2 linked regions of the Cricetulus griseus genome follow. The protein of the gene in region 1 binds, or shares a complex with, the protein of each later gene. Links are inferred from orthologs where the notes say so. Each region holds a gene or a part of one and is shown on either strand. Other genes may lie near its edges.

The links.
Region 2: the proteins of Aplnr (region 1) and Apln are in contact, whole or in part, in a cryo-EM structure (PDB 8XZG), measured with the Homo sapiens proteins. The link is inferred for Cricetulus griseus from reciprocal best matches to the Homo sapiens genes APLNR and APLN. Residues at the interface, in NP_005152.1 of Homo sapiens: Tyr35, Phe78, Trp85, Tyr88, Thr89, Tyr93, Ser106, Ile109, Phe110, Met113, Pro163, Val164, Arg168, Gln180, Cys181, Tyr182, Met183, Tyr185, Glu194, Glu198, Leu201, Gly202, Ser205, Tyr264, Lys268, Tyr271, Ser275, Cys281, Asp284, Leu285; in NP_059109.3 of Homo sapiens: Arg66, Pro67, Arg68, Leu69, Ser70, His71, Lys72, Gly73, Pro74, Met75, Pro76, Phe77.

What each region holds. Positions count from the first base shown.
Region 1 is NC_048599.1:90,406,307-90,409,912, reverse strand, and holds Aplnr (apelin receptor), read left to right. Parts: upstream 1-1,460; coding exon 1,461-2,594; 3' UTR 2,595-2,949; downstream 2,950-3,606. UniProt on the Homo sapiens protein: G protein-coupled receptor for peptide hormones apelin (APLN) and apelin receptor early endogenous ligand (APELA/ELA), that plays a role in the regulation of normal cardiovascular function and fluid homeostasis.
Region 2 is NC_048604.1:21,410,501-21,414,805, reverse strand, and holds the start of Apln (apelin), read right to left. Parts: upstream 3,067-4,305; 5' UTR 2,676-3,066; coding exon 2,609-2,675; intron 1-2,608. UniProt on the Homo sapiens protein: Peptide hormone that functions as endogenous ligand for the G-protein-coupled apelin receptor (APLNR/APJ), that plays a role in cadiovascular homeostasis. Functions as a balanced agonist activating both G(i) protein pathway and beta-arrestin pathway of APLNR.

The sequences.
Region 1 (3,606 bases):
CTTGTGCATCCTTCCTCTTCCTGAAGAGGTCCTGGTGAAGAAGCCAGATGGGAGGGTGACTATTACAACATCTGCTCAGGGGTGGTTCCTTTTTCTTCATCCTCCTTGAACTCAACTTCCTGACCCTATGTGGTCTTATGAAACCTTTGGCTCATGGATATTGACTGGTAAGAGCCCGAGGACTGAGCTGAGTTCGTAATCTTAACACACAGTAACCCATACACTTATTCTTCTCCTTTCTCACTCTTTTCCTGATTAGTCCACTTACTTACTCAGCCAAGCATCAAAGATCTCTGATGACATACCAGATCTATGTTCCTTATGAGCTTAGAGAAGAAGAAGAGGAGGAGGAGGAGGAGGAGGAGGAGGAGGGAGGAGGAGGAGGAGGAGGAGGAGGAGGAGGAGGAGGAGAAGAAGAAGAAGAAGAAGAAGAAGAAGAAGAAGAAGAAGAAGAAGAAGAAGAAGAAGACAACTAATCACAACAAAATGTGACCTTTGGAAAGACACTTACCTTAAGCATCAGTTTCCCCATAGGTTTAATGACTTGGTTAGCAGTCATATTGTCACCAACTTTCTATTACCTTCATCTGCAAATTACAAACTGTGGTCTGCCAGCAGTTTAGGAACTGTAGAGAAATTTCATTGTGCTTTTGTCTGCAAAATACCAAAGTTCTCAGAAAGAGGGTTGGAGCCAAGGCATAGAGAGGAATGAAGGAAGTGCCGAGTTCCAGTGTCTCATCTGGGTGGGGGTGGGGTGGGAGTGCAGGGTCAGCAGGGGCCATCCAGATGCTGGGACCCCCCTGTGAAATATCACACCCTCTCTGCCCCATGCTTGTCCCGGTCAAACTGGATTTCAGTCTGCATAATTTGTACCAGTTAGAAGGGTTGGGAGAGGGTGAGAACAGGAGGGTGAAGACTGAGGAGGGAATAGATACCCTGAAAGTCAGGCATGAGGTGGTGGTGGTGGGGCAGAGTAAGAGTCTGGGGTGAAGGCTGGTGGAAGCTAGAGAGAGGAGGTGGGGCCAGGAGGAGCAGCAGGCTTGCAAAACACAGATAATTGTCAGCCCAGCACAGTAGGGGTCAATTTAGTCTACTTACCCAGTGGCAAGAAGAAGGAGAAAAAAAAAAAAGTGGGCTGTAACTTAAAGATCTTAAGACTCACTAGAGAGGGAGGAGTTGGCCTCAGGGTGGGAGGAGGGAGTGTGGAGTTTAGGAGGAGACAGAGACTCAGGAGGGTGCAAGGAAGTGTCTTAGCTGAGCTGGGGTGGGAAGGGGAAGGTAGAAAGAAGCTGCCGGAGCAGCACATCCTGCTGGGTCTGAGCTTCCAGAGGGGCTTCTTCTGCATGCCGGGAAGGGCGCCCTCAGACCTTCTCTTACTCAGGGCGCTAGCTGAGTTGGTGATATAGCTCTGGAGCTGGTGTCCCTGGGACTCACCGCCTACCTTCACTCCATTCACCAGTATGGAAGATGATAGTTACAACTACTATGGGGCCGACAACCAGTCTGAATGTGAGTACGAAGACTGGAAGTCTTCTGGAGCTCTCATCCCTGCCATCTACATTCTAGTCTTCCTTCTAGGCACCACCGGCAATGGCCTGGTGCTCTGGACCGTGTTTCGGAGCAGCCGGGAAAAGAGACGCTCCGCTGACATCTTCATTGCCAGCCTGGCAGTGGCTGACCTGACCTTTGTGGTGACTTTGCCACTGTGGGCCACCTATACCTACCGGGAGTTTGACTGGCCCTTTGGAACCTTCTCTTGCAAGCTCAGCAGCTACCTCATCTTTGTCAACATGTATGCCAGTGTCTTTTGCCTCACCGGCCTCAGCTTCGACCGATACCTGGCTATTGTCAGGCCAGTGGCCAATGCTCGACTTAGGCTGAGGGTCAACGGGGTTGTGGCCACAGCGGTCCTGTGGGTGCTGGCTGCCCTTCTGGCTGTGCCTGTAATGGTGTTCCGTTCCACTGCTAACACAGAAAACAGCACCAAGGTCCAGTGCTACATGGACTACTCCATGGTGGCTACCTCAAACTCAGAGTGGGCCTGGGAGGTGGGCCTTGGGGTGTCATCCACTGCTGTAGGCTTTGTGGTGCCCTTCACCATCATGCTGACATGTTACTTCTTCATTGCCCAAACCATCGCTGGCCATTTCCGTAAGGAGCGCATTGAGGGCCTGCGGAAGCGGCGCCGGCTGCTCAGCATCATCGTGGTATTGGTGGTGACTTTCGCCCTGTGCTGGATGCCTTACCACCTGGTGAAGACGCTCTACATGCTGGGGAATTTGCTGCACTGGCCCTGTGACTTTGACAGCTTCCTCATGAATGTCTTTCCCTATTGCACCTGCATCAGCTACGTCAACAGCTGCCTCAACCCCTTCCTCTACGCCTTTTTCGACCCCCGATTTCGACAAGCCTGCACCTCCATGCTGTGCTGTGATCAGAGCAGGTGCAAAGGCACCCCTCACAGCAGCAGCGGGGAGAAGTCAGCCAGCTATTCTTCTGGGCACAGCCAGGGCCCTGGCCCCAACATGGGAAAGGGAGGAGAGCAGATGCATGAGAAATCCATTCCCTATAGTCAAGAGACTCTTGTGGACTAGGGCTTGGACCAAAGAGAAGCCTGGTGCTTTGGGTCTGACCCAAACTTTACCCTTGCGCTCTGAGAACCAGATAGCATGGCTGCATTTTCTCCCTGACCCCTGGCTCCTTTAGCTGTTCCCTGCCTCCAAGCTCTGACTTGCCCTCCACTTCCCAGAGGTTTGTGGTTCAGTGGGAAGAGATGGAGCCTTGCAAACAGACCTGTGCTCAGCTATTCAATATCCTCGAGGCTGACCTCGCACAAGTCTCCTATCCTCTCCAAGCCTCAGTTTCTCTGCATTAAATGGGAGAATGTTTTATGGACCCTAAAATGTTGAAGATGATTCCTGACTTAATTTGCTTCCTTCTACTCTTTCTACCCCCTCCCCTCTTTTCCTTTTTTGTTTTCTCTGCTGCAGAAATTTTTACTGTCAATTACTCTCATTCTAGATCTCGTTGTCTTCTAGTGGATTCCTAAGGCTGGGCTTCTAAGGGTTAAGAATGCTGAAGCTTGAAGGATAACCCTGAGTTCTTCTCCTGTTTTCCGAGAGCCAGCAGGGCAGGGTGGGCTGTGTGTGTAGGCAAAGAATTAGTGCTTCAGTCCCCAGAGCCAGGAGCTCTGGGTCTTTCCAAAAGTTGGATTAGTTCACTGTTGGTCCAGACACCAGGGCTAGACTGAGTTTTGAATAGAGATTTCTCTTTGGCAGAATCTCCGTGTTGCTTAGTAGATAATGTATCCTACCAATAACCCATTGCCCTCTTCTGCTTGTTTATAATTGTGAGAATTACAAGGTAACAGGGCTGAGGAAGCTGTGGACCATCCCGTTCCTATGAAGGTGCAGTTGGGAAAGGAAACCAGAGAAAGAGGGGTTAGAGGGGAATCTGTATTTAGTCTGTATGCTGCTTGGCTCCCCTCCCCCAATCCTCATTGTCTCCCTCCTACAGAACTGTGAAATGTAGAGCAGTTCTTTCTCTAGTCCTGTCACTCATCCCACCATCTCCCGGATATTTTCTGTAGGTGTTGGTGCTACTTGA
Region 2 (4,305 bases), on another chromosome or scaffold:
GAAAGCCTGCCCTCCACTTGATTAGTCTTAGGACTTTCCTGTTGAGGGCCTGGCTCAGGTTACAAGGATACCTGGAGTTTAGAACTGAGGATGGAGTGGAGATGTCCTCCACAGTGGGAGGGGGACAGTAAGCTGTCCTTACGCTGCACACTGGAGTATAAGCTGCCAAGGGGGGGAGGAGACCGAGAGAAAATGGTGCTCGGAGAACAAGGGACATTTGGCCAGGACTCAGAAACTCCTGGACTCAGAAGAGCAAAGTGTATCCCAGGTCAGGAGGCAGTGGAGAGTCTGTGGAGTTGGAGGAGGGGCAAAGAGGGAAGGTGAACATTCCAAGTCAGAACAGAGAGTGGAAGAGAAGAGGACACACAGTTTCTGAACTTCGGGGACTGTCTCTGGATACCTCATGCAAGTCTGTGCTAAGGACGAGACTATTCTAGGGCTCTGCTTTCTAGACCAGGACACAGGAGGAGTGTGCATACCTGAACCTCTGGCTGCTGGCTACCTCCAAGAAGGTGCCCTCCTTGGCTCCGGGAGTGGTCAAGAGGTAGGAAAATAGTGAGACCTTTAGAGGTAGCCAATGCTTATCTTAAATAAAATGTAAGGGTGATGCTTATACTCACATTAGGGTGTGCCAAAGAGTTAATGTAAAATGAGAAGACAGAACAAGAAGTTTCAAGGTCTAGACCAGAAACCCAAAGTGTTCTGGAAGCCTGCTTTGCTTCCTTGAAATCAGCTCACCCCTTTACTAGTAATATCCCAACAGCTGGACCCTGAAGGGTTCACTGAGTATCTACTAGCCAAAGTCTCCCTTATACCTTCCCCTCACCCTCTGGGGAAGTATGCAGCTCCTCTGGGGTACCCTTTCTGTACCCAATCATGTTCTCTAAAGGCACTCCTCTAACTATTTGCCTGAAGTCAAACTATGAAGATGTGTCTTGCCAACCATATTGGCTGTGTAAGTTCCAGGACAGAGGAGCAGGCTGCTGTGGTGTCTTGATTCATAGCTTTTGCTCCCTTCCTGCCACTGCCTGGCTGGCAGGAGTTTCTGGGGAAAAGTCTGCACCCTTCATCCCAAGGAGGTGGCTGTCTCGGTGCTAGGGTCTTGCAGGAGACCACTGGACAGCTACCTGGAGGCAAGAGGCACAAACCAGACCAATGTACTTTCCAGAGAAGCCTGGCAGTGTACCGAGTGCAGGGCAATGACAAAGAACAAGAGCATAGAAAGGAGGTAGCTACAAAGAGAGGCAAGCGGAATTGGCCAGAACCCCAGAGGCTCCCGGGCAGCACGCCATCCTCCTGTTCTGGGGGGGGGGAGGTCAAACTAAGTAAGTTCCTGGGCTCTTCCTCTAGGAAACCCACTGTCCTGCTCGTTCTCTCTGTCTGTCTGTCTGTCTGTCTCTCTCTCTCTCTCTCTCTCTCTCTCTCTCTCTCTCTCTCTCTCTCTCTCTCTCTCTCTCTCTCTCTCCACTCTCACTTCCCTGTGACTCTGTGACTCCAGCCCTGGCACTGGCAATTGTTCACCTGGTCTTGACCTTCCCTTTCTGCTGTGCCAGGCAGGCTGCAGTGACAGCCAGATCACAGGACTGGGGCAGCTGAAGGTGCGAGCTGGCAGCTCCAGGAGGCTCTGCCGCACAGAGGATGGGCAGCCTGGGCAGGGGCTCCTGGGACACTGAAGACCTGGACTGAAGTAGGCAAAGGAGTTCCAGTGCCAAGAATTTCCAGGTGGGAGATCGGTACAGGTGGAAGGGAAGGGACCCCCCTTCCCTGAATTGCACGAAGGGCCTGTTTGCTGGTTTGGTACCTGAAGACAGGGGGACCAAAGTTATACTGGTGCAAGAGTGGAGGATAAAGCCAGAATACAGAAGAAGCAAGTCTGTGGGCCAGGTGTCCCACAACCTTGTAGGGAACGAGATCATCCAGGACCTTGGAGTACAGGAGGAGAGCAGCCTGACTCTGTCCGGTCCAGATCTGCCTAAGCAGGCTTCCTCTGCTTACACTCAGGCAACAGCTGGGATCCACTAGCCACTGCGGTCGCCCCCGCCCCCGCAGCGTGCTCCAGACTATGCAACAAGTGTCACGTCTACATGTTGGCACATCATCCCCAGCGGCTTGAGCCCCTGAACTTGCCAGCGGCCCCTAAACTCCAAGACCTAGAGACCTTCAACACTGAGCCCTGATCACTCAGCTCAGGTCAGTCGCCTGATCCACTCACCGGTCCACGAAGTGAGCTGACATGCCCCCATCCTCTTCCCGGCCACCACGTGGGGTGCAGGGTGCAGGGTGCAGGACATAGGGTGCAAGTCTGTGGCCCTGAGCGCCTTAAACTGCGAGGGGCATTCAAGAAGGGCCAAGTGGTGATGTACGTGATAATACCAAACCCCGAACTGTTCCGGGAAGCAGTAGCTACAAAGCACGTCTCCCCCGGCCCCAGATGCCCTGTCAATCGGCCTCCCTGTGTGGCTGGCGCGTGGCTGCTCCTGCAAGGCTCGCGCCGGGTTTCCTGGGAGGCAGGAAGAGCGTGCATGGGGTGGAAAGAGAGGATCCCGCAGGCTGTAGTTCGGGAGAGCCCCGGAGGAAGCCCGGGCGAGCAGGGAGGACAGGCACTCACCTCCACACACCGCAGTCAAGGAGAGCCAGAGCAGGAGCAGCGCCTGCACCCAGAGTCGTAGATTCATGTTGCAACTGGGTCCTCAATCTCCCTGAAGAGCCGGAGCGTGGGCAGAGAGGCCGGGCACCCCGGACGCCGAGAAAGGCGCGAGACGGGGCTGGCGCGTGCGGGCACGGAGTTCGCGTGGCTCCCGGACCACGGGAGGGTGCGTGCCCCAGCAACGCTGCTGGCTGCTGGCCCCACGCCTGCTCGCCGCCCCTGCTCTGCAGCAGCCTCCTTTCCTGCCGCGGGGTAGCGCGGCGAAGCTGGCCTAGGTGGCTCCGGGATAGCAGCAGAAACTCTCCAAGTGGCCGGCGGTGCTTAGTCCGCGACTCGCAACTATCCGTTGGTCCAGGCTGCTAGAGAGAATGCTTCCCCGCTCACTTCGGGGGCTGCATTTTGTAGCTTGTGGTTTGGCAGCGAGCCCACTTGGTCATGTGGTCATCGGGAGGGCTGGGGGGGGGGGAGAGCAGGAAGAGGGAGGGGGAGAGAGCCTCCCGCACCAACCCCCTTCAGGCAAGCACGCTGCAGCCCTATCCAGGACGCGAGAGGGAACCCCGAGGTGGCCCCACAACAAAGGCTGAGCGGCCGCTCGGACAACCCACAGCGGCTCCCCGGACAATGCCTGCCTGGCCGGGGTGCAGAGGGTTTGTAGAGACCTGAAGGATTTCAAACACAGGAAGCATTTGGATCAGTGGAGGGGCACACTTAACCCTTTCTTACCTGATTTCCTCAATAGCTGTCAGGATACCAGGGCATTTGGGGAAGGACCCATTCCGGATCCCCACAACACCCCAATCCATTTCTGACCCTGACCATGTTCTTTCTCCCCTTGTCACTCTGTATTCCCAAGTAGGGGTTTACTCAAGGAGTTCACCTTCTTTCTCCTCTGCATCTTCAACTGATTCAGAATTGGGGTGGTTGCCTAGGTTGCACATAAGACTGGGGTAAACTAGCCGGGCGGTGGTGGTAGTGGACGCCTTTAATCACAGCACTCAGGAGGCAGAGACAGACAGATCTCTGTGAGTTTGTGGCCAGCCTGGTCTACAGAGCGAGTGCCAGGACAACCAGGGCTATTACACAGAGAAACCCTGTCTCAACCCTCTGCTCCAAAAAGAGACTTGGGTAACTGCCTACCACCTTATTTCTCCAGTTGTCTCCCAGCGAGTACCCTCTTCCGAGACTGGCCCCGTGAGTGCAGCAAAACCTCAAATTCCCACCCAATCTAAAAAAGGCATCCTCCTGTCCCTGTGTCCCAACCTGCCCCCCCTGGAATTGCTGCCTCTTGGATACTCTTCACTTTCGGGAGACATTCTGCAGCTTCGGCCATGTTCCCTTTCTTGTTGCTTGGAGCTGTCCCCTACCTCGTTTTGTCTCCTTATGGGGAGAGGCCTCCTGGATCCTTCCAAACTGAGCTGGATTTCTTTTACAGTCAGCTGGGATTCTCCATTATAAGAGGGCCCTGGGGTCGTTTGTCTGTCTACTAGGGACTCTTAGCTCCTTCTCCAGCCTGGGGGTTCCCAAAGAAATGCACTGCTTCTTTCCTCAGGCTGGGAATCCCCTAAGACAGGACCCTACAGTCTCAATCTTCTGCATCTCTCCAAACTCCCCAATATCATTCTCTGCACATAGGTGGCACTCAACACATGTCGAAAGGC